Linked DNA regions of Sus scrofa. The protein of the gene in region 5 purifies or fractionates together with the protein of the main gene of each other region. This does not show direct contact. Links are inferred from orthologs where the notes say so. Each region holds a gene or a part of one and is shown on either strand. Other genes may lie near its edges. The genes, in order: MOB1A, ANAPC1, AJUBA, LIMD1, LATS2 and SAV1.

Region 1 (4,168 bases), on a different chromosome or scaffold from region 5:
ATATTACAAAGTATTAACAATAAAGGGCTTTTATAATCTGTTAAGAAAAAGGCAAGGAATTCTTTAGAAAAATGGGCTAAGGCAATGAATACGCAATTCAAAGAAAAACATAAGGACCAGCTTTTCTGAAAAGCTGTTCAATCAAAATAAAATTTATTTTTTCCTTAGCTTGAGTGTCAGAAGTCATAACAATTACATTAAGTGTGGGCTAGTGTATAGAGAAATTAGTACTTTAATACACTATTCGTCAAAGTGTGTAATACTTTAGGAGACCAATATGGCATATTAACACGGAAGTGCACTTCACTCCATCCCTTCCACTTCTAGGTATCTCTCCTTAATATGGGTAAGGATATATTTTCCAAAATTGTTTTTAATTATGAAAAACTAAAGTTTACTAGTAAAGGAATAAATAATTATGACATATTTACATCCTGGAAAACCATACAGTATTATGTTTAATATGGTTAAACATATTATAGAATGAAATACACAGCACAGAAAAAAATTCATTAATTAAAAAAAAAAAAGAAATGTACAGCAGAAGCCCATTTTGTAAACGTGGAGAAAATATCATCCACCAAACTGATACTGGTACTTCTAGAAAAGGGAAAGGAATAGAACTGAGGACTTTCCCTTTACTAGAGTAATGTGAATTTTAAATAAGACTGATTATGGAGTAAAAAGGAGTTATGAAAACAATAAAAATCAAATATGGAAAGTTTGTATTTAACATGATAATGAGTGAAATTTAACAGGGAGATGGAATGGCGCTTTACATATAGAAAGAGAAGTTGTGAATGACCAGAAGCTAAATATGGAAACTAGTATGAAATGATGACTTCCGTGCTTCAAATGGCACCACCAAGACAGTGATAAGAATCCACAAAACAGGAAAGAATGCTGCAAATTATAGATGTGCTAAGGGACCTGTATATTCAGGATAAAGAATTTTTACAATTCAAAACCTAAAAAGACAACCTGATTAAAAAAATCGTCAAAGGATTTGAATAGACATTCCTCCAAAGGAGATACACAAATGGCCAATAAGCACATGAAAAGATGCTCAACATCATTAGTTATTATGAATCACAATGAGATGTCACTTTACATCCACTTAGGAAGGCTATAACCAAAAGTGTAATTAACAAGTGCTAGGGAAGGTGTGGGAAAATTGAAACTCATACAGTGCTAATGGGAAAGCAAAATGGTGCAGTGCTTGGAAAAAGTGTCACCCTTCCTCAAAGGGTTAAAAATAGTTAACTATACAACCAGGCAATTCCATTCCTAGGTATATATCTGAGAGAAAGAAGCACATACATCCAGTACAAAAATCTGTACGCAGTTCACAGCAGCGTACAGAATATCCAAAAAGTGGAAATTCAAATGTCCATCAACAAAACAAAGTTTAAAAGAAATAAACAGCCTCACATTTAGGTCCAAAAAGCAAATAAGAATTGTGCATCCACAAACAATTAACTAAACATTAAAAGAAGAAAAAGACCGGAAGGAGGGGGTAGATAACGGTCTAGTAATAAGGAAACTTTAAAATATAAATCGGATTTTTTGATATGGTGATCATACTTTAAAAAAAATCCAAAGAGGGAAAAAGCGATTTAGACAAAGATACTCTTAGTAGTGCTATTTTATAACTGCAAAGTATTAGAAAGAATCCAAATTTCTCACAATAAATGGGGTAAACTGTAGTTATGAAACACTATGTAATTTAATAAAACTTGGAAAAAATGCCAAGTACGTGGGTAATGCCCATAACTAAAAATGGATATGTATTTGCTCATACAAGACATGTTAAAGCAAAATAATAAGAGCCCCCTGAGAATAACACGTAAGGTGCTAGAGCAATGCTTCTCAAAGCTAAATGTGCTTAAGAATCATCAGAGTTACACTTTCCCATTTAAGCCGCACTTGCGCCCAGACGTTATCTCTAAAATAAGAGTCTACCGAGTTAAAACGCAGTTAGCTAATTATACAAATTCACAAAGTGGGCTGGATCAGAATTTGGACACAAGGCCGCCAGCTTAACTTTCAGCTTCTCAAACTGCGGCACTCCACATTTTCCGCGGGGGTAACCGAATACTGATGACAATAAAGGGGGACGTATAGTAGAGTAAAAAGCCAAATCTGTATGGATCGTTACCAAAAGGCTGGAGACCGGAGAAAAATTGGAAGCCCCAAGCGGGGCCCATGGCTCCGCCCCTAGATCATCCCTCTGCCCTCAGGCGCACTCGGGCGGAAAAGTTTCGGCGGCGCCGCCGGCCTCGGGGCCTTCCTACTCCCCAACTTTCTCGCTCCGCTTCCTCTGCCTCGACCTTCACCTCCGTCTGCCTCTGACCACAACCAGGCTTCCCTGCGACCCCGAGCGGTGGCAAAGCAAGAGCCGGGTACGCCAGCCCCGACCCCGGGACCCGCCCTCTCCTCAGGCTCCCACTGGCCCCCTCCACGACCTCGGCCCTCAGCCCCCTCAACCCTGAAGCCCTGGGCCGGGCCACACTCACAAGAGGAAGCTCATCTTCTATCCTCAGAGCGGAGGGGAGGGGCCGCTCGCCCCCGCCGAGGTCAGGATTCGGAGTCCGCGCGGGACTGAGGGGGATCCGAAGGTCCTCAGCCGGCGGACAGCGGATGCCCGCGACGCTGCAGCTCGCAGCCGGGGTCAAGCCGCTGCAAGCAGGTGCGAACTACTGCACCCGCCTCGCCTTCCTCCCCGACTTTACGGACCCGAAATGCGGAACCAGCAAAATCTCGCGAGCGAAAGCTTCGTTCAGCCCCGCCCCACCGAGAGGGACTCGGCACGCCCCTTTTCCTTGGGCCGGCTCCTCCACCTGAGCCAATCAGGGACCTTTACGCCGGGACTTCCGCTGAACAAGTTGCCCTGGACTTGGAATCCTCTGCCTGCGATGCTGATGTGCGTGGTCCAGGTTGAAGCAGCTCTATTTTGTCCCAGTTATCTAGATGTCAGATGGCTATGTGTGCGAAATTTTTTACTTAACGTTAATTTGATTTTTTAAGTTGAGATGTAATTTACACAGCATAAAATTCGCCGTTTTTAAAAATATGCTTCAGTGGTTTTCCCACATATTCGGACTTGTAGAGCGGTAACAATTACCTATTTCTAGAACATTTTCCCATCACTTCCAAAGGAAACGGGTACCCATTAGCAGTCGCTCACCATTCCTCCCTACTCCCATCCCTTGGCGACATCTAGTCTACCTTTTTATATGAGTTTGCCTAATCTGGATATTTCAAATAAGTGGAATTGTACAATATGTGCACAATCTTCGTGATTAGTTTCTTTTACCTGATCATGTTATCAAGATTCATCCATGTTGGAGATCCTGTGTTAGCTCCGCAGGTCAGAACCCAGCATGGTGTGCATGAGGATGAGAGTTCCATCCCTGGACTCGCTTGGTGGGTTAAAGATGTGGGGTTGCCACAAGCTGCGGTGTAGGTTGCAGATACCGGTTGGATCCTGCATTGCTGTGGCTGTGGCCTAGTCCGGTGGGCAGCTGCAGCTCTGATTCAACCCTAGCCTGGGAACTTCCATGTGTCGCAGGTATGGCCCTAAAAAGAAAAAATAGAAAGATTCATCCTTGTTGTAGCAGGTATCTGTTCTTCATTCATTTTTTATTATGAGCACTATTCCATTGTATAAATATACCACATTTTGTTTATCCATTCATCTGTTGATGGACTTTGTGGTTGTTTCCAGCTTGGGGCTATTAGGAATAAGGCCATTAGGAACATTCCTCTGTGGGATTTTGTGTGGATGAATGTGTTCTTTTCTCTTGGGTATGTGCCTGGGAATGACTGGGTCATATACTAACTATGTATTTATCTTTGGGGGGAACTGCCAGATTGTTTTCTAAATTGGATGCACTATTTTACCTTCCACTGGCGAATAACTGAGGGTTTTGCTATTTCCACATCCTTGATAACATTTGTTACTGTGTATCTTTTTTATTATAGCCGTTCTCGTGGGTGCGAAGTGGTAGCTCCAGATTTTGATTTGCATTTCCCTGTTGGCTGATGTTAAGAATCTTTTCAAGTGCTTATTGGCTATTTGAAACAAATTTATCTCTCTCTTCCTTTAAGTTGCCTCAGGCCCCCAAAGGATCATCCAAAAAGGGGTCCTGGTCCAGTATCAGTCTTC
Region 2 (4,171 bases), on a different chromosome or scaffold from region 5:
ACCTCTGCAATTTCAGTATGTTGTTCAGCAAACGGAATCTTTTATATCTACCACCTCCATTCTCCCAATAAACTATAACAACTACAAACATCTTCTTTCTGGAATGGTTTGGGGAAGAAAAATGGAGTCTTCTACATGTCCCATCTAAATTCCTCTAGAACTACAAAGGATTTAGACTACTAGGATTTTGTTCCAGAAGCTAAATGGAGTTGCTTGAAAGCATCACTTCAGTTCCCCATCAGATTACAAATTCTAGATCCCTGTGCTTCTGGTATGTTCTTTAGTAGTGGCTGAGTAGAGATTCCTATATCCACCATCCCAATCTCCTCCAATCTTCAACTGCTGGACACTTGTACTTTTATGCTGATTCAAGACTCTGCTAAGCAGCATCTCAGTGCTTCAGTGAATGCTGATGTCTAGATATTTGCACATCCCAGATGTTCAGCATGGCAAAAGGAATCCAGAAGTTGCAAGGGCTAGACACTGGTTCTTCCAGTTTGTCATTCACCTCTCCAAATGTAGTCTCTTACACTGTCTAATACCAGTCCTGTTGACTCTTAAACAACACAGATTTGAACTTTGAGGGTCCATTTACACTCAGATTTCTTTCTTTCTTTTTTCTTTTTGTCTTTTTAGGGCTGCACCTGCAGATATAGAAGTTACCAAGCTAGGGGTTGAATTGGAGCTGTAGCCACTGGCCTACACCACAGCCACAGCAATGCCAGATCTGAGCTGTGTCTGCAATTTATACTGCGGCTCATGGGAATGCCGGATCCTTAACCCACTGAGCGGGGCCAGGGATTGAACCCCCATACTCGTGGATACTAGTCGGGATAATTACCATTGAGCCACAATGGGAACTCTAGATTTTTTTCGATAAATATGACACCAGAGTTCTTTTGTGGTGCAGCAGGTTAAGGATCTGGTGTTGTCACTGCAGCAGCTTGGGTTCTACTGTGGCCTGGGTTTGATCCCTGGCCTGGGAAATTCCACATGCCATAGGCATGGCCATAAATAAGTAAATAAGTAAATATGGTACCTTATATAAATATGCATTTTTTTTTTTTTGGCCATGCTTGTGTCATGTAGAAGTTCCTGGGTCAGGGATTGAACCTGAGCCACAGCAGTGACCCAAGCTACAACAGTGATAACACTAGATCCTTAACATGCTGAGCCACCAGGGAACTCCCTATTTTTCAAGTTATGTTTTCACTTTTGATGTCTAATGTTAGTCATACGTGTACTATCTACAGTGTTTTGTATCATATAAGACTATTTAATATCAATATAGGTATTGACATGTTTTACATCTTTTAAACACGTGATATAAACTTATGGTATTGGTAAATACAGTACAGTACTATAAATGTATTTTTTCTTCCCTAATGCTTTCTTTTTTTTCCCTAAGGCCTTCTTTAAAACATGCTCTTTTCATCAGTTGTATCATTTTTTAAGATTCCACATATAAGTGGAATATGATATTTGTCTCTGACAGTTTCACTTAGTATGATCATCTCTAGGTCTATCCATCTTGCTTGCAAATGGCAATATTTCAATCTTTTTATGGCTGGTAATATACCATTGTGTATACATACTATATCTTCTTTATCTGTTCATCTCTTGATGGACACTTAGATTGCTACCATGTCTTGGCTATTGTGAATAGTGTTGCTCTGAACTTTGGGGTGCATGTATCTTCTCAATTAGAGTTTTCTCCAGATATATGCCCATGATAGGGATTGCTGGACCATATACTAATTCTGTTTTTAGTTTTTTAGGGAACCCCTATACTATTCTCCATAGTGGCTGCACCAATTACATCCCCACTAACAGTTGAGGACAGTTTCCTTTTTTCCACACCCTCTCTAGCATTTAGTATCTTAGACTTTTTGATAATGGCCGTTCTGACTGGTGTGAGGCGATACCTCATTGTAGTTTTGATTTGCATTTCTCTCATAATTAGTGATGTTGGGCATCTTTTCATATCCTGACTGTCTGTCATCTGTCACATCCCCGACTTGAGGAAAACTGCTACAAGGCTGTTTTCTTCCCTCTCCATATTTTCAGTTGAGCATAGGACTTTCTGCTGCCTTCCCTCCAGGTTTCCTCCTGCCCCCAAGCACAGCAGCAGGCTCCTGGGTACGTATGTGAAACTGCTCTGCTGTACTTTAGAATTAGCTTCTTAGCAGCAGATCCCCTCACTGTTCACATCTGTTCATCTGGCCCCTTGAGATCCGTGTCACCCTGAGAGACTAGGGATGCCAGGTGATGTCACCATGCTGATGTTACTTTTGCTGTCAGTGTAATAACCAATCTAAATCCATTTGGGCTTGTTGTCTCCTTACAGCCAAATATACCCCAAGTGACCACCAGCCTAGGAGTCAGGGACTGCTGGATCAGAAAGCAGCGTAAATGGAAATGGAGTAAGGAGATGATGTCAGAGAGGAAAGAGGACCACGTCTTCTAAGACCTTGTCAGCCACAGGCAGGACTTTGACTCTTTTGCAGGGAGAAAGCAGGAACCACCAGTGGAGTTGTGATTAGAGGAATGCCAAGATTTAGCTCACGTTGTCAAAGGATCACATTAAAATACATTAACTCTAGCGGCTGCCCCCTTGGCCCCTACACACTTTATCACTGCGGGGCTATCTCTTTCCGCTAGTGTTCTGCACTTTTTCCTTGACGATCTTCCATGACCATCACGTCTTTGACAAGGGGACACAGTGGTTCTTCCCCCGGGGGGAGGAGAGTTCCTAAAGGCCAGGGCTGGTCTCTCACCTTTGGCCCGATACCCGAGGCGGTGTAGGCGGGGAGCGCTCGGCCGGGAGCCGGTGGATGCGGCGCTCAGAAAGATCGCCTACCACTGTGGCCTTGTCCTCTGGGAGAGCTGCTGCTGCCTGAGTTTTCTGGGTCCACTAAGCCTGGATTGCGGGGTCGCCGCTGCCCGGGAGCCGCTGGCCCCTCCTCTTAGGTCTGGTGGCTGCCTCGGGCGTCTTCTACTCCTCTGGAACTTTATCTCCTCCCTCTGTCCCTCCCACCTGCACGTGTTGGACGCCGGGACCGCCCAGAGGCCTGGGCCGGGTTCTCCTCTCCACCTCCGGTCGCCCCTCCCCTTTACGGCCCCCACCTCCTCCCCTCTCTCCTGTCCCCTCGCCCCCACCCCACATCCAGGTCCGCCCAGACCAGCCCCTCCCCGCCCCTCTAGTCCAGCCTTGTCCCCTTACTCCTCCTCCTCGGCCCTCCTCTCCCCCCCGCCTTCCCGCCCGCTTCCCAACCCAACTGGCTAGGGTCCGCTCGGACTCGGCCCCCGGCCCGCCCCCTCCAGCCCTCAGCGCCTCCCGCCGCTGCTCGGCTTCGCCACTTCGGGGTTGGAGCTGCCCGGGCCGCCGGTACTGGGCCGCTTCTCTGGCGCGCTTGGCGGACGACGCGGCGTGTTCCAGACGTCTGTCTCTCCGTCGGTCCAGAGAGAATTTCCAGATCCGCGCCCCAGGATGGGACGGGCTCTGCTGCTGCTCTTGCGGTGGCTCCTCCTCCCCGCGCTCTGGAGGGGAGGTGAGTGCCCGGGGCCAGGGGCCCGGCGCTGGGGGCTGGGGGCTCGCGGCCGGGAGCTGGGAGGTGGGAGCGCACCGACCTGGGCGCACCCGGCTGCAAGAAAGTTTGCAAACATCTCCCCGCGCCCCAGCGGTGCCAGGCGCTGGCGCGCAGGAGTTTCTAGCAACCCACTGTCCCCGCACCCAGGCTGGGTCGTGGGCGCGCGTCCCGGTGGAGTCGGGAAGGGGTGGGTACCGAGGGCTCCCCTTAACCGCCCAGGGGGAAATCGAGCTTGACTGGAAGCGCTGCAAGCCCAAAAGTTTTGCGCGGAGAGGAACGCTGGTCGCAGGTCTGGCGCGGAATGCGCCAGAAACTTTGCCCTGGACTTGGTTGCGCGGTTGGACCCTGGCTGTGGCGGGAGTTCTGGGAGCGGCAGACCCCATCTCCAGGGGGACCCGCGCCCGGAGACCAGCAGACTGTGGGAGTTGGGGTCGCAGTCCCGGTGCTGATCCACCCAGGCTGGGGTGCGACCGAAAGGGACTGCGGACCCGGCTGCTCCGCTTGAGCCCTTATGGACAACATTAGCAAGGACACCCTGTGAGCGTGGCGGCCCCGGAAAGGGGGGAAACATTCTTTTCACC
Region 3 (3,500 bases), on a different chromosome or scaffold from region 5:
TTGTGCGGGACACCCCGTGCCTGGACCCTGGGAGAGGCTCCAGCCCCTTCTCTACTGCTTCTAGGGCGAACTTTGCGATGCAAGGCTTTCTACAGTGTCAACGGCTCGGTGTACTGTGAGGAAGATTATCTGGTGAGTGAGTGGTCCCTGGTCCTGGAATTGGCTTCCGCCCCCTTCTTGGTGGTCCTCTGGGGTTCTACCCATCAGGTCATTCTCAGCCTGTTAACATCCTCTCTTGATCTCCTCCTAGTTTTCAGGGTTTCAGGAGGCAGCTGAGAAATGCTGTGTCTGTGGTCACTTGATTTTGGAGAAGGTAAGAAAAGCATCTTCAGCTGAGACTGCGAGGCTCAGGGGCCAAGGGGAGAATCAGGAGCTAAATGGATACTGAGAAAAGGCTGGGGGAGGAAACCTCCCAGCAATCACTTGCATCCATTCCTCTCAGAACAGCTGTTCATGGTGGCTTCTTTCTGCCTGTGGGATCAGGTCTGGACTCCTCAGCCTGCCGCCCCCAGGCTTCTATGATCCGGCTCCTCCCTAACTCTGCAGCCATAGCCAGGTCGAGTGCCTAAGCTAGGAGTATGGGGTCCTGGGTCTTAATCCCCTTCCTGTTACTGACTGGGATCAGCTGGAACTCAGTTATCTGTTCTCTAAGGAGGGACTGGGTTGGCGTGGTGCTTCACAGCTCTGGCAGCCTAGCAGATCACCTGGGAAGAAGTAAAGAAAAATACCAACACTGGGCATTACCAGAGACTGTGCTGAATACTTCTGGGTGGGACCCAAGCATTGATGGGCTTAAAACCTCCCTGGGTGACCCTGATATGCTGCCAGGGCTGAGAAACACTGGCCTGGATGCTCTCCAAGACCTTTTTCAGGGCTTCTGCCTCCATTTGAAGACCCTTGGTCCTCCCAGATTACATAGCAGTGTTCTGGGAGGAGAGCAGCGGCTCTGATGGGGTTGGCAAGAACAGCAGGGAACGTCATTGGTAGCCGGTAGCCAGAGAGTGGAGACTGATTCTGCTTCCCCCTGGGCCAGATCCTCCAGGCAATGGGAAAGTCCTACCACCCAGGCTGCTTCCGATGCGTTGTTTGCAACAAGTGCCTGGACGGCATCCCCTTCACCGTGGACTTCTCCAACCAGGTGTACTGTGTCACCGACTACCACAAGTGAGTCCACCCCTTGGGGTGTGGTGTGGAACTGGGCTCAGGGATTTCCCCCTCCTCAGCTCATCTCCATCCTCTCTCTTTCAGAAATTATGCTCCTAAGTGTGCAGCCTGTGGCCAACCCATCCTCCCCTCAGAGGTCAGTATGTCTGGGTCCTCCCGCAGGGCAGCCAGTGCTGCGGCCGCTGGGGAGGGGCTGGGGACATGCTGCCTGGCCTCCCATGGGAGGCAGTGGTGCTGAGGAATGTATTCTGAGAAGATTCCCGTGTGACTCTGCTCTAGGGGTCACCACCCTGACCCCAACATCCGGGCCTGGACTTGTCTGACAGCCTCACTGGGCCCAGCCTCCATCTTTTTGCTCCCAGGCCAGAGAAATAGACTTTCTTTGAGGTCAAGGTCACCAGCTCCCAGATTAGGGGCTAGAAAAAGGTGGAGAAAATCCTCAGGGCCGGTAGGAGGGGGTCAGAAGTGATTTCTGCCGTGTGTGCCAAAAGTGAGCCTAGGGAGCCAAGCCAAAAGCCCATGAGGAACCAGACCCTGTTGAGCTTCCCCGCCCCCGTCTTAGCCTGCTTATGCGGCCTGCCCCTTCCTTCCGCTTTACTTCCCCCACAAATGGGAGAGGTAGGTAAGGCCCGAGCCCCTGGACAGAGGGAAGGCTCTGTGAGGGGACAGGCCCTCTTGGAGGCAGCACCAAGGAAGGAGAGGTGGAACGTTCGGTAGGGTTTGCAAAGGTCGTCAAAGCTACAGATGATGGAATTCCTGTTGTGGCACAGCTGAAATGAATTGGACTAAGAACCATGAGGTTGTGGGCTTGATCCCTGGCCTTGCTCAGTGGATTAAGGATCCAGCTTTGCCGTGAGCTGTGGTGTAGGTTGCAGACGTGGCTTGGATCCCATGTTGCTGCGGCGGTGGTGTAGGCCAGCAGCTATAGCTCCGATTAGACCCCTAGCCTGGGAACCTCCATATGCTTTGGGTGTGGCCCTAAAAAAAAAAAAAAAAAGAAAAAAAAGCTACAGACGATGGCAGAGAGGTTCCGGAGGCCTCTGTGTGATCTCCCCATTTGGGTGGGGGCGGTGGTGGTGGGGAGTTCTGGTCATGCTGCTCCTGTGCCCATGGGCGTGTGCGTTATTTCAGGGCTGTGAGGACATTGTGAGGGTGATATCCATGGACCGAGATTACCACTTTGAGTGCTACCACTGTGAGGTGAGTGTTGGGGGCCCCAGGCTCCCAGAGGAGAGTTGGAATGGGGTTAGGGGAGTGGAGTCTGTAGGAGAGACACAGGGCCCAGGAAACCAGGAAGGTGCTCTGACCCATCGCCAGCCTCTTCCTCATCTGTCCTTCAGCCACTGTCTCTGGGCCTGGTTGTTTAGTCCTTTCTAAATCTGGCTTCTCCAGAGTCAAGACTTCTAAAACTAGGGACTTTCCTGGTAGCAGCTGGAAGTGGGAGCCCATCTCATTATTTCTGCTGTAGCAGCGACACCTGGTGTCCAGCTGAGGTATTTTCTCGGGTTTCTCTTCTGGGAGTCCATCCCCTCCCACACCCTCACCCCCCTTCTTCTAGTCGTTAGGAGTCTGGTGTTAAGCAGGGCAGACTCCCAAGATGTCCCCGGTGCCTGGGCTGAGGTGAACCAGGCGTCCTTCTTCCCTAGGACTGCCGGATGCAGCTGAGTGATGAGGAAGGCTGCTGCTGCTTCCCTCTGGATGGGCACTTGCTCTGCCACGGCTGTCACATGCAGCGGCTCAATGCCAGACAGCCCTCTGCCAACTACATCTGAGATGCAGTCACCGCTGCCGCCACCACCACCACCGCTGACAAATTCCTCTGGCCAGTGGGCCCCTCTGAGGCCAGGTGGGGCAAGCAGTGCACTCTGCAGGCCTGGCAGAAGAGTCCTCCAGGGAGGGCCCCAAGGGCCAGCGACCCAAAGATCAAGACATTCCAAATGGATTGTGGAGGAGGAGCCCTCCAGTTGCTAGAGTGACTGGCCTTTTTTCCACGTGTGCAGCCTGTGCCGTAACATATAATTCAGGCACACACACAGCCGGGTTCCAGTACCTTCTAAAGGAGTTCTCTTGTGGCACAGTGGAGTAAGGATCCGGCATCATCGCGGCAGCAGCTTAGGTTGCTGCTGTGGCACGGGTACGATCCCTGGCCCAGAAACTTCCATATGCTGCGGGTGCGGCCAAAAAAAATAAATAAAAATTTTTTTAAAAAGGGCCTGATGCTAGTCTGTATCTCCAGTATACATTTGTGTATGAGTCAGTGTTTGGATTCTGGTTTATAGGAAGAGAGGACAGCATGGGAGCTCCTTTTTGTATTTTTAGGGTCACAACTGCAGGAT
Region 4 (4,145 bases), on a different chromosome or scaffold from region 5:
GGATGCTTTTGGTCTGGACTACACTTTCAAGAACTACTACTCTTGAACAAAATCTTCCACATCAGTGTTTCATCTCCCTCAGCTGCACACAGCACCTGTAGACAGACACATGGTGCGTGCACACGCGCACACACACAGCTGCGGAGGCCCCTGCCCGACCCCTGCTCCTCAAATAGCCAGCCCTGCCTGGCCTAGCCAACAAAGGATGGAATGCAGGGGTACCTGGACCTAAGAGGCCCATTCAAGTCCTGCCTGAGCTAGTCACCATGAGAGGCTCGAAGTCACCCCCAAAACCCGTGAAATCCAAAGTCACCACATTTCCCCCTCTTCGAGATCAGTCATGAGCAATCCTGCCCTTCACACATGGGTAACCCGCAGCTGCACGATCTGCTTTCTGCCTAGGGATGCTTTCAAGTTTCTTTTCAAGTTTCACAAGAAACAGCTGAAAGAGGAAGCCTCCTCCACCCCCACCACAAGAAAAATGGCAGGCCACCCAAGGAGACCTACAGAATCCCTGGTGGGGAGCACCTCCTCCCAAACGCAGGGTCCCTGTCACCCACCACGAGCAACCTCACCAGCCGCTCACTCACCAAAGTAATCGGCCTTCGGATGAGCATCCATCTCACGTTCCAGACGTTGGGTGAGGGCTTCTAATTTCAATTCGGCAGCCGTGGGCCCAAGCTCAGGGCCCGGCACGAGGGTCTGGCAGGGCAGCCTCACCCTGGGGGAACTGGGGCTCTCTGGGAGCACAGACCCCAGGCTGCCATCAGGAGACCAGCCAGGGGGACCTTCTTTACAAGATAACTCAGGCAGGGTGGACATCACTGGGTGGACAAGGCTGGTGGGGCTGAGCTTAGGACCCACGCCAGGGTCTGTGCAGGCAGGCTTGGGACCCAGCCCAGGGACGGCACCCAGCTGCATATTGTCCATGCTGGCTGTCGAGGATGATGGAGCAGAACTAGAAAGGTAAGATTTGGGCCCATCCTGGAACCAGGGTTGAGGGTCCACGGTGGGTTTGGGCATCATGCCTGAAAGGTCACTTGCCACTCCCGAGTTTGTTCTTGGAAGAGCTCCTTGACTGGGGCGGCTGGGGGCCAGGGACGCAGAGAAAGAAGGGGTCCTGGGCTGAGCAGCCCTCAGTAGGGCTCCGTTCTCTGGGCCTGGGGAAGGGAGGCCAGGGCTCACTCGCTGGGAAGAGGCGGTGGTCCAAAGACCTGCTGGCTTCTCACTGCTGCGGCCACCAACACCACCATCAGGGCCGCTCTGCAATGACCTGCTGGAGCTCGGGGAAAGCTGCTGCTGGTACAGATGATCCCTGGAGGGTTTGGACAGGGCTGGCTCGCTCCCTGGGGTGCCAGACCACCCACTTCCTACACTCAGCCTGATGCTGGGGGACACTCCTGGTTCGTCACCCCACTTGGGGCTTGCCAAGGAGAGGTTGTCATAATAGTCTCCGTGGGTGAGGCAGGAAGGATCCTCACAGGGGCCCTGCCGATGGAAAGCAGACATCTCGGAACTCGCCATGCTCTCCTTGGATCCACAGTCCTGGCTACCTTGCCTCACGCCACGGACAGGCGGCCTGGCCTTCTGCTCCTGGGGTGGGTACAAGGGCTGCCCAGCCGTGATGGTGGCGGCTGTCCCAGGAGTCACTGTTGAGACAGCGAGAGGGGGCTTGGCAGCACCATCCGCAGTCAGCTTGCTGCCCACACCAGCTTCCCGGTAGGCCTGTGCGCCCAGGCGGCCCCCGCCATTAACAGGACCTCGGCTCCCCCTGGGCAGGGTCTCCTCCTGCAGGAGCTGTTGCTGCTGCTGGAGGTGGATTTTGGCCATCTTGGTGGCAAACACCCTGCGTGTTTCCTCAAACTCCGGGTTGTTGCCTGCACCCTTGTCCACTCGGAAGAGTCCATCCTTGGAGGCCTCATACATGTTCAGGTCCTCAATGAACTTACTGGCCTCCAGGCCCAGGTCGTCGTACTTATCCATGTTGCAGACCAGTGTCTGGGCCTAGCCCAGGTGCTGGGTATGGAGAGTGTGGAGGAGGGTGGGGTGGGGTGGGGTGCTGGCAAAGAAAAGAGGCTCAAGTCCAGCCCAAGACAGGTAAAGCCTTCCACCTGCCCAGCAGGAGAGTCATGACCCCAGGCCTGTGAGTACAGCCGATGCCGAGGCCTCAAAGCCACTTGGACCAAGTTTGCTTCCAATTCCTTTTCCCCTCGTTGGTGTCCACGTGGGGGCAGCTGGCGGCGCTTCCCTGTCCAAGCTGGCTGTGATTCTCTTCTCTGTTTCAAATCAGAAAAGGAGAAAGAAATAGGGAGGGGAAAAAAAAAAATCACATCCTCCTTAAGCAATCAAACTCAGAAACCCACAACACGGCAGCAACCGCTGGACGGAGCCGGGCTAAAGCCGCTCAGGCGGAGAGTGCAGAAGCCACCAACCAGCCAGGCAGGAGCAAAGACGCGGCGGGCGGGAGGCGCGGGCACGTCCCGGGCGCTCGGTCCTCCGCTGCTTCCCCAGGTGGCGCGGGGCTGAAATCCTGGCCCACGCGGAGAGGGATCGAGGTCCGGGGCACACGGGCCGGCCGGGCCCCGTCAGGAAGTTCTCGGCAGCGGGGCTGGCGGCCTATTGTCCGATGGTGACGGTGGCTAGGCGCGCGCGGGCCGGAGGGCGGCGGGACGCGGAAGTGAGTACGCCGGACGCCGTCCCCGCCGCTCGGTCGCCGGCCGGGCACGTCGCGGGCCTGCGAGGAGGCGGAGGCGGAGGAGGAGGCCGAGGGGCGGGGGCGCCGGCGAGGGGCGGGGTCAGCGCTGGTTGCTCCGGGCGCCGGGGGGCAGGCCCGCGCCTGCCAGGCTGGGGAGCCGGGAGGTGTGTCCCGCAGCCCTCCTTCCCGCTCTCGGTCAAGGGGATGGCGGGGTTTCCAGCTGCCACTGCCGCCCCTCTGCGAGGCCGGGGTCCCATCATCTGGCACCACTTTGCGGAAACCGCTGGTGGGAGGCCTGGAAGGCTCGCGGGGCCCCGAGACGCACCGCTTGTTAAAAGGTCTGCGGAAGTCTGGTGGGCGCGCGCTTCTTGCCCAGCTGTGCCTCAGTTTCCCGGGTGGGAAGCTAACCCCTTGAGCCGCCTCCGCCCGGGAGTGCCAGCCATGGGCTGGCCCAAGGTGCCCTTCGACAGGTAGTGAGACTAAGGCACAGAGGGGGAAGTGTCCAAGATGCCACTGTGACTAGCAAAGCCTGAGTGGGAGCCCAAGTCCTCTGAAAGGGGGTTATAAATCATGACGTGGCCCGGAGCGCGCCTAGCTGAGGTCCTCAGTGAGGCAGTGAAAACACATGATGTGGTGGCTCGTTATTCACGAGGGGATTCCTGACCCCCGCTCGCCTCCCCAGTAGACTCCCACGCAGCTCTGGGGGGCGTCGGGCCTGAATCCTGGGTGCCCTCACTTGGCCCAGCGCTCCCTGCACCACCTCCAAGGGGATCCTGAGAGAGGATCCGAAAGTTTTTATTTCCCAAATAGCCGCCAGCGTGATCCTAAGGCAAATATCAGACCAGTCACTTCCCTCCTACCCACCCTCAGTGCTTACCCGGGACTAGGGTTGAAATCTACCTGTACTAGGCCTTCCTGGCCCTAGTGGCCCCTGCCTCCTGACTGATTTGGGGCTCTTACCCATCTGAGTGCTACTGCAGGAGTTTCCTGCCTTGAATTTTTTCCACTGGCTCATCCTTTCTATCTCTGCTAAAATCACCTGCTCCTAGAGCCCTTCTTTTTCGCCACCTTCTTTATTTCCTGATCACTTCTGATGACTATTCATAATTATTTGTTTAGCTGTTTACATGTGGGTTTTTTGGTGGTTGGGTGGTTTTCCACCTCCATTAGACCATATCTGTATACCCAGTATCTGATGGTTGAATGAGTGAATGAGTGAATTTGTCTGCCAGGGTTGTGACAAGGAACAAATAACAGAATGCACTTGACAGTGCTTTGTACTCTGTAAACCTAAAGCTTGGTTCAGGGGCCAGTAGACTGGAATCACCAGGGAGCTTGTTAAAAATGCAGAATCTGGGAGTTCCTGTCGGGGTTCAGTGGTTAACCAACCCAACTAGTTCCCATGAGGACTCAGGTTTGATCCCTGGCCTTGCTCACGGGGTTAAGGATC
Region 5 (3,500 bases):
CATGGCGACAGACTAATTTAAAAAGACTACTGTTACTGTTGGTAACAATACCGACCAGAAGTCCAAGTTCTTGAAGAACCAAACACGAAGTACACACGAGGAACGAAGCGGCAATTCTGTGACCCGGTCGGGGCGGTGCCGAGCGCTTCCCGGGGAGGTCTCGGGACCTCGGCGGCGCCCCCGGCAGGTGGGGTGGGAGCAAGGAGGGGACCCCGCGGAGCTCCCACGCCCGGGACTCAGCCAGGGCAGCCTCTGGAAGGCCTTGGGGCAGGCTGGTCTTCCTCTGATTTTGTCCCATGTCCCAACACAAGCCCCGCTCCAACCTTGCCGTGCCCAAATTCTTGCCAAAGGTGCACTGCAGTCCCTGCCCAGGGGACTCCTCTGGGCTGCGCCGAGGGCTGGGGGGACAGGGTGGCCGCCTGAGGGCCAGCACCTCCCGCCTCCCACCTTTCCTGGGCAGCGAGGTGAACACTCCCCACAGCCTCTCAAGGCAGCCGCAGTTACAGTGAGGCTGGCAGGCGGGCAGCTACCAGGGGACACAGGTGGGGGCCCTGTCGGCTGGCTCCAGTGACCTGGGTCACAGCTCCCTGAGTGCATCCCCCGGAATCAAACCCACAAATGCAGCCGCTGATAGCACATGACCAACGATCAGCTTCCTCCTGCGCCCGGCCAGGCGGGGCACAGGGTCCCCACATCCTGCCACCTTCCAGGCGCTTGGGGAGGCATCGGAGGAAGTGACCCTCGCCCACGCTGACCAGGGAAGGCAGTGCCTCCCAGCCGGAGCCTGGGACCCTGGTGCCCCTGGCACGCACTCTGTCCACACCAGCTCTGGGGCGGCTCCTCTGGGCTTGGGGGCAAAGGGCAGCCCCACCCTCAGGGCCACACACCAGGGCCACATGCTGAGAACACACTCTCAGCCCCGCAGGAACCCGGAGGGCGACTCAGGCTGAGCACTGGAGCCGGGGGCACACACGCACCTTTCCGGAGGAGCACTTCCGGGGCGATGTAATTCGGGGTCCCCACCAGGGAGTGCGCCAGACACCGCTGGTGCTGCCTCCGGGCCCTCTGCTCCAGGGTCTTGAGCCGGTCCCCACACCGACAGTTGGACACGTCGTCCCAGAGGTCGCTGGGCTCCATGCTGTCCTGCCGGGTGTGGCTCCCTGTGACCCGGGGCGCAGGGCGGGGGAAAGAGGAGGAAAAGCAAGGTGAACCTTCGCTCTTCAACACGCAAGAGACCCCCAGTTTCAAAGGTCAAAGTTTTCCAAGGCAGCGCCCGACACAGCGAGAGAAGGAGTCCTCCCGCCAGCTCCGCGGGGCGGCTGTGGTTCCGGGCCTCAGATCCAAGCCGTGGGCGGTGGCGGCAGGGGCTGCGCCCGGCGCCGGGCGGCCTGCATGGGGCGCTGTTCGAGGCTGGCGACAAAGGTGCTGTGACTGGGGGATGGCGTTCCCAGCATGCTCAGGCCCACCTCTGAGGCTACGTTTTACGACAGGCACGGAAAACCAGGAAAAGATTAAGAAAATACGAACATTGGAGCTCCCATTGTGGTGCAGCAGAAAAGAATCTGACTGGGAACCATAGGGTTGTGGGTTCGATCGCTGGCCTCGCTCAGTGGGTTGGGGATCTGGCGTTGCCGTGAGCTGGGGTGTAGGTCGCAGATGCAGCTCAGATCTGGCGTTGCTGTGGCTGTAGCTCCGATTGAACCCCTAGCCTGGGAACCTACCTCCATACGCAGCAAGTGCAGCCCTAAAAAGCAAAGAAAAAAAAAAAAAAAAAAAAAAAAAACTAAAAAAAGGGAAACATGAACATAAATGAGTCCAGTGCCAAAAGACAAGCATGAATTAAATGATTTAGGATTAATTTTGAGTTAAAAAATGGAAGCCTGAGCTATAGCATTAAAATAACTATTTCAAAAATTCATACCATAAATAAGAGTTGCCATCATGGCTCAGTGGATATGAATCTTACTAGTATCCATGAGGATATTGGTTCAATCCCTGGCCTCGCTCTGTGGGTTAAGGATCTGGCGTTGCCATGAGCTGTGGTGTAGGCCAGTGGCTACAGCTCTGATTCGACCCCTGGCCTGGGACCCTCCATGTGCCACAGGTGTGGCCCTAAAAAGACAAAAAACAAAAACAACAACAACTCATACCATAACTAAGACAACAACCAGCTGTTTCTGACGTTTCCAAACAGCAGAGCTGCCAGAGGTAAAGGTCACTGGGTGCACAGCGCGGTCTACACCTGCAGCAGGCCAAGGCTGGCCGAGAGCGAGAGCTCCTTGGGAGGCCATGAGGCTTATTTTTGAAGGCTTGTTTTAACAGGCAGAGAGACGCTTCCTGCGCAAAGCCCAAAGACACCCCATGGCCTGCCGTCCTAACAACATCCCCGTAAGACTTGAGGCCACTAACGTAACACGGCAACCTCCAGTCGGGCTGCCTTTCCAGGGAGAAGAGGGTGTCGCAGCAGCGGAAAAGCACGGGCGGGGGGCGGGGGGGGGTGGCGCTGGCCCGGGCTGTACCTTTCTGGTAGTATTTGGAATTGTGAGTCCACCTGAAGCCCGTGCAGAGGCCGAAGTCGGTCAGCTTGATGTGCCCGTCCAGGTCGATCAGGATGTTGTCCGGCTTGATGTCGCGGTGGATGAAGCCCATCCTGTGGACACTCTCGATGGCCAGCGTCAGCTCGGCGATGTAGAAGCGGGCCAGGGGCTCCGGGAAGACCTCCATGCGGATCAGCAGGCTCATCATGTCCCCGCCCGGGATGTAGTCCATGACGAAGTACAGGCTGTCCTTGTCCTGGAAGGAGTAGTAGAGCTTCACCACCCACTCGTTGTCCGCCTCCGCCAGGATGTCCCTCTCGGCCTTGACGTGGGCCACCTGGTTGCGGCTGAGCACGTCCTTCTTCCTGAGGGTCTTCATGGCGTACAGGGCGTGCGTGTCCACCTTGCAGGCCAGGCACACCTCCCCGAAGGCGCCCACGCCCAGCGTCTTGATTTTCACGAACATGGACTTGTCCATCCTGGCCCTCTTGAGCCGGTTGTAGTTGGACTCCTTCTGGTAGAGGATCTTCCGCATCTGCTCCTGCTCGGCCTCGCAGAGGCCGGCCTGTGCAGAAGGAGACAGGGTCACCCCGGAGGACACGGCGGGGACGGGGCCCCGGAAGGGGCAGGACCCCCCTCCAGCCCGTGGAAGGAGGGAAGCGACGGAAGGGCCGAGCACCAGAGCCAACCAACCACGTCTCGCTCCTGCCGGCCACGCAGAGCCACAGCGTGGAGGCGGAGGGAGACACCCTAGGGAGCGCTTGTTCTGGTGACTTTAGGTAAAGGTCACTGGGTGCACAGCTAAATGTAACTTCTGTTAATGACGTTCCTGGAACTCTAAGAGCAACGGATAACTGAACGGCTCAGGGAAAGATGGTAAAACAACAAGAAAAAAGCCAGTGAAAATAGGACAGCAGGAAGAGCATACATTTTACTTCCCCAATTTTAAGTTCTCACCTGTGT
Region 6 (3,500 bases), on a different chromosome or scaffold from region 5:
GTAGGCCAGCGACTACAGCTTCGATTGGACCCCTAGCCTGGGAACTTCCATATGCCCCCGGTTCAGCCCTAGAAAAGGCAAAAAGACAAAAAATAAAACATGATTGGAGAAAGTTATTTTTTTAAAGTCTGTCATTAGGAGTTCTTGCTGGGTTAAGGATCTGACTGCAATGGCTTGGGATGCCATGGAAGCTCAAGTTTGATCCTTGGCCTGGTGCAGCGGGTTAAGAATCCAGTGTTGCCAGAGCTGAGAAGAAATAAGTCACAGCTGTGGCTCAGATTAAATCCTTGGCCCGGTGGATTCCATATGGCACAGGTATGGCAAAAATAAAATAAAATAAAATAAAGTATGTTATTTAAATTATAAAAGCTATGTCAGGAATTTCCGTTGTGGCTCAGCAATAACGAACCCAACTAGTATCCATGAGGATGCAGGTTCCGTCCCTGGCCTTGATCAGTAGGTTAAGGATCAAGCCTCAGCTGTGGTTGTGGTGTAGACCTGTAGCCTGGGAACTTCTATATGCTATGGATATGGCCCTAAAAAGACAAAAACACAAAAACTACGTCAAACTGCATAAGCAGGGTTCTAAGAGAGGATCAGTAGAAATTTAGTTTTTACAATATTTCCTCAATGATATTTTGTGAATCAGGATTTTTTTTTTTTTTTTGCCTTTTTCTTATGGCCGTACCCGTGGTATATGGAGGTTTCCAGGCTAGGGGTCCAATTGGAGCCGTAGCTGCCGGCCTACACCACAGCCACAGCCACGCAGGATCCGAGGCATGTCTTCAAGCTACACCACAGCTCATGGCAACGCCGGATCCTTAACCCACTGAGAGAGGCCAGGGATCGAATAGTTGTCTTCATGAATGCTAGTCGGATTCATTAACTGCTGAGCCACAACGGGAACTACAACGAATCAGGATTTTAACACAAGATTTTATCTTGGTGTCATTAAATCTGCATACTTCAGGTATAAAAGTGTCATAAGCTATCAGTGATGTTTGGAATATAAACAATCGGTATTAATGGCAAACACTGTTATAAGCTATTATTCCCGATACTCTTCAGCTACCAAAATTGTCTTAAGACTCCAAACTTGAAATCTGTGGATCCATTCACTTACTCAACCATTTGTTTTTAGAGTACCTCCTATATAGCCAGGTGCTTTGGTAATCCTATCTGACTCTTCTCTTTCTCTCATCCCTCAATCCCCATTAGTGGTCAAGGCCCATTAATGCAGATGTGTCTCACTTCCCCCCTTTCCAAACATCCCCAGCCTGATAGGTCATTTAAAATATTACCCATCAAATGTGTACTGAATGGAAGATCACTGAAAGTACTTATAAATAGTGTATAACAGTAAGAAACTCATTCATATAAAAAGGCAGGGATATGAAAATGGACAAACTATAATCACAGTTTTAAAAAGAATGCCATGGAAAAAGATGAAAGAAATAACTAAATACATCTTGTTAAAATATATAAAAATGAACTTGTGTGTGTGTGTGTGTGTGTGTGTCTTTTTGCCTTTTCTAGGGCTGCTCTCGAGGCATATGGCGGTTCCCAGGCTAGGGGTTGAATCGGAGCTGTAGCTGCCAGCCTACGCCACAGCATTGCAGGATCTGAGCCGTGTCTGCAACCTACACCACAGCTCACAGCAACACCGGATCCTCAACCCACTGAGCAAGGCCAGGGATCAAACCGGCAACCTCATGGTTCCTAGTCGGATTCATTAACCACTGAGCCACAAGGGGAACCCCCAAAATGAACTTTATTTTTAAAACTTACTATTCTGATTAGAAAACAAATTATTTCAGTTTAAAAATACATGATTACTAGAAACAGCCAAAATACACAATAAAGTATCCAACTATCTAATCCTTTAACCTAGAAGTTCTTTAAAAACAAAAAAGACACGCACCTATTCTCATGACAGTACTTCTATATGCCTCTAGACATTTTATGTTATGTATTCATAGACTTCTAGATGAATCTCTTCTCTTCAATGTCCCAATGAGACTTGAATGTCAGCTTTCACAAAATAAGCTACTCTTGCCAACTACTCCATACTTTTAATTTTCAAAACTTCAGTGATTTACTTTCTCCCAAACCCATAATTAGGTCTCATTTTTCCTTCAAAAGTATCATAGATTTGCACTTTCCTCTCCACTGCAGTCCTCTTTTCTCTAGCAATCTATCTTAACTGGTAAGCTAATCTTGAAATAGTCCTTTCATAAAATGAACATCTTGTCCTTTTGAAATCTTCAATGGCCTCTGCTTGACTCAAATTTAAATCCTGCAAGCTCTTGCTGCACCACTAATCTCCATTTCACCTTACAACTTATTTCTCCAAACTATGCAGAAGTGCACAACTCCTTGGATTTATATCATCTCTGCTCTTTTCACTGGCCTAATCCTAATTTTCTAACTAAAATGTTCTTCCCATGTCCCCTGTCATTCTAAAGTCTAAGCTAAAAGCAAAAGCAAAGTTCAGGACCAACCTCTTCCACAAACCATTCTCCAAGTATTCTAGCCTACCCCGATCTCTTTCTCTTCTGACTCTTTACTGCACTTAACAGTCAATACCACAAAGTTTAATGACTACCTGTTTTTTGATCATCTTGAATATATTAGTTTCATCCTCCCAAATAGGTCCCAGAAGGCAGATACTACCAAGAGGGTCGGGGAAAATGCTAGACACATAAATGACTACTACGAAAACAGTTCTGTTAAAAGAAACAGTGCCAGTTCTAGCTAAGTAATGATGTAGTTGCCCATGGTGTCACCCATCATGCCCAATTCTTCCTATTTGCCTTTCTTTTCCCAGGTTGAGGTCCAGTTTCTCTGAAATCCTAACCTTCCCATTTTACCAAATCTAAACCTAGACGCAGTCCAACTATAGACATTAAAATCTCTAGGTTTTCCAGCTTCGAAATGTTAACAGTCTACATAGCCTTTAGCTACGTACCAAGCTTTTATAAAATAAGGTAATTAAATGGCTTAATAGACATGAAATTCCTTCCCTCAGTTCAGATTAATAATTATTTGCAAACTGACTTAGCAAATTGGCAAAATGTAGAAGTAGTTCTTTAGGAGTATCTGTTGCCTTCCCAAGAAAATCCAGAAAAGAACATTTTTTTAATGAGGTGTTAATAAATCAAACTCACGTAGTATTTATAATTTTAAGTTACCTGAAGCATGCCTCCCCTGATTTTGTGGCACTCTTTGGAAGAGATCGTGGTTGTAGTCATAATATCTATAGTCTTCATGTGTGCGATCTCCAAGCTGGCGCCTCCTCTGACCATCAAAATAATTATCGGAATAATAATATCGGGAACCAGAGTCTCCATTTTCAACAGCAAAATTAACTTCTGTTAAAAATGACTGAGAAGAGCCATATTCCCTAGGGACATCTGCTAGACTCCTGGCAAGATAAGAAGGTGCAGATAATCTGTTGCTTTCTCTTCTCATTATTTCATGAGGTGTTCTTTGAATTGGAG

The links.
Region 1: the proteins of LATS2 (region 5) and MOB1A purify together in Homo sapiens (affinity purification with western blotting; 9 studies listed by BioGRID and IntAct, with this or other methods). This does not show direct contact. The link is inferred for Sus scrofa from reciprocal best matches to the Homo sapiens genes LATS2 and MOB1A.
Region 2: the proteins of LATS2 (region 5) and ANAPC1 purify together in Homo sapiens (affinity purification with mass spectrometry; 3 studies listed by BioGRID and IntAct, with this or other methods). This does not show direct contact. The link is inferred for Sus scrofa from reciprocal best matches to the Homo sapiens genes LATS2 and ANAPC1.
Region 3: the proteins of LATS2 (region 5) and AJUBA purify together in Homo sapiens (affinity purification with western blotting; 3 studies listed by BioGRID and IntAct, with this or other methods). This does not show direct contact. The link is inferred for Sus scrofa from reciprocal best matches to the Homo sapiens genes LATS2 and AJUBA.
Region 4: the proteins of LATS2 (region 5) and LIMD1 purify together in Homo sapiens (affinity purification with mass spectrometry; 3 studies listed by BioGRID and IntAct, with this or other methods). This does not show direct contact. The link is inferred for Sus scrofa from reciprocal best matches to the Homo sapiens genes LATS2 and LIMD1.
Region 6: the proteins of LATS2 (region 5) and SAV1 purify together in Homo sapiens (affinity purification with western blotting; 4 studies listed by BioGRID, with this or other methods). This does not show direct contact. The link is inferred for Sus scrofa from reciprocal best matches to the Homo sapiens genes LATS2 and SAV1.

What each region holds. Positions count from the first base shown.
Region 1 is NC_010445.4:68,851,101-68,855,268, reverse strand, and holds the start of MOB1A (MOB kinase activator 1A), read right to left. Parts: upstream 2,801-4,168; 5' UTR 2,531-2,800; coding exon 2,517-2,530; intron 1-2,516. UniProt on the Homo sapiens protein: Activator of LATS1/2 in the Hippo signaling pathway which plays a pivotal role in organ size control and tumor suppression by restricting proliferation and promoting apoptosis.
Region 2 is NC_010445.4:44,482,590-44,486,760, reverse strand, and holds the start of ANAPC1 (anaphase-promoting complex subunit 1), read right to left. Parts: upstream 2,801-4,171; 5' UTR 2,778-2,800; intron 1-2,777. Other genes in the region: MERTK (tyrosine-protein kinase Mer), read left to right, coding at 3,491-3,551. UniProt on the Homo sapiens protein: Component of the anaphase promoting complex/cyclosome (APC/C), a cell cycle-regulated E3 ubiquitin ligase that controls progression through mitosis and the G1 phase of the cell cycle.
Region 3 is NC_010449.5:76,069,509-76,073,008, forward strand, and holds the end of AJUBA (LIM domain-containing protein ajuba), read left to right. Parts: intron 1-64; coding exon 65-132; intron 133-250; coding exon 251-313; intron 314-1,033; coding exon 1,034-1,164; intron 1,165-1,248; coding exon 1,249-1,300; intron 1,301-2,295; coding exon 2,296-2,364; intron 2,365-2,810; coding exon 2,811-2,936; 3' UTR 2,937-3,376; downstream 3,377-3,500.
Region 4 is NC_010455.5:28,728,847-28,732,991, reverse strand, and holds the start of LIMD1 (LIM domain-containing protein 1), read right to left. Parts: upstream 2,801-4,145; 5' UTR 1,984-2,800; coding exon 591-1,983; intron 1-590. UniProt on the Homo sapiens protein: Adapter or scaffold protein which participates in the assembly of numerous protein complexes and is involved in several cellular processes such as cell fate determination, cytoskeletal organization, repression of gene transcription, cell-cell adhesion, cell differentiation, proliferation and migration.
Region 5 is NC_010453.5:1,231,471-1,234,970, forward strand, and holds part of LATS2 (serine/threonine-protein kinase LATS2), read right to left. Parts: intron 3,103-3,500; coding exon 2,520-3,102; intron 1,161-2,519; coding exon 978-1,160; intron 1-977. UniProt on the Homo sapiens protein: Negative regulator of YAP1 in the Hippo signaling pathway that plays a pivotal role in organ size control and tumor suppression by restricting proliferation and promoting apoptosis.
Region 6 is NC_010443.5:180,427,959-180,431,458, forward strand, and holds part of SAV1 (protein salvador homolog 1), read right to left. Parts: coding exon 3,192-3,500; intron 1-3,191. UniProt on the Homo sapiens protein: Regulator of STK3/MST2 and STK4/MST1 in the Hippo signaling pathway which plays a pivotal role in organ size control and tumor suppression by restricting proliferation and promoting apoptosis.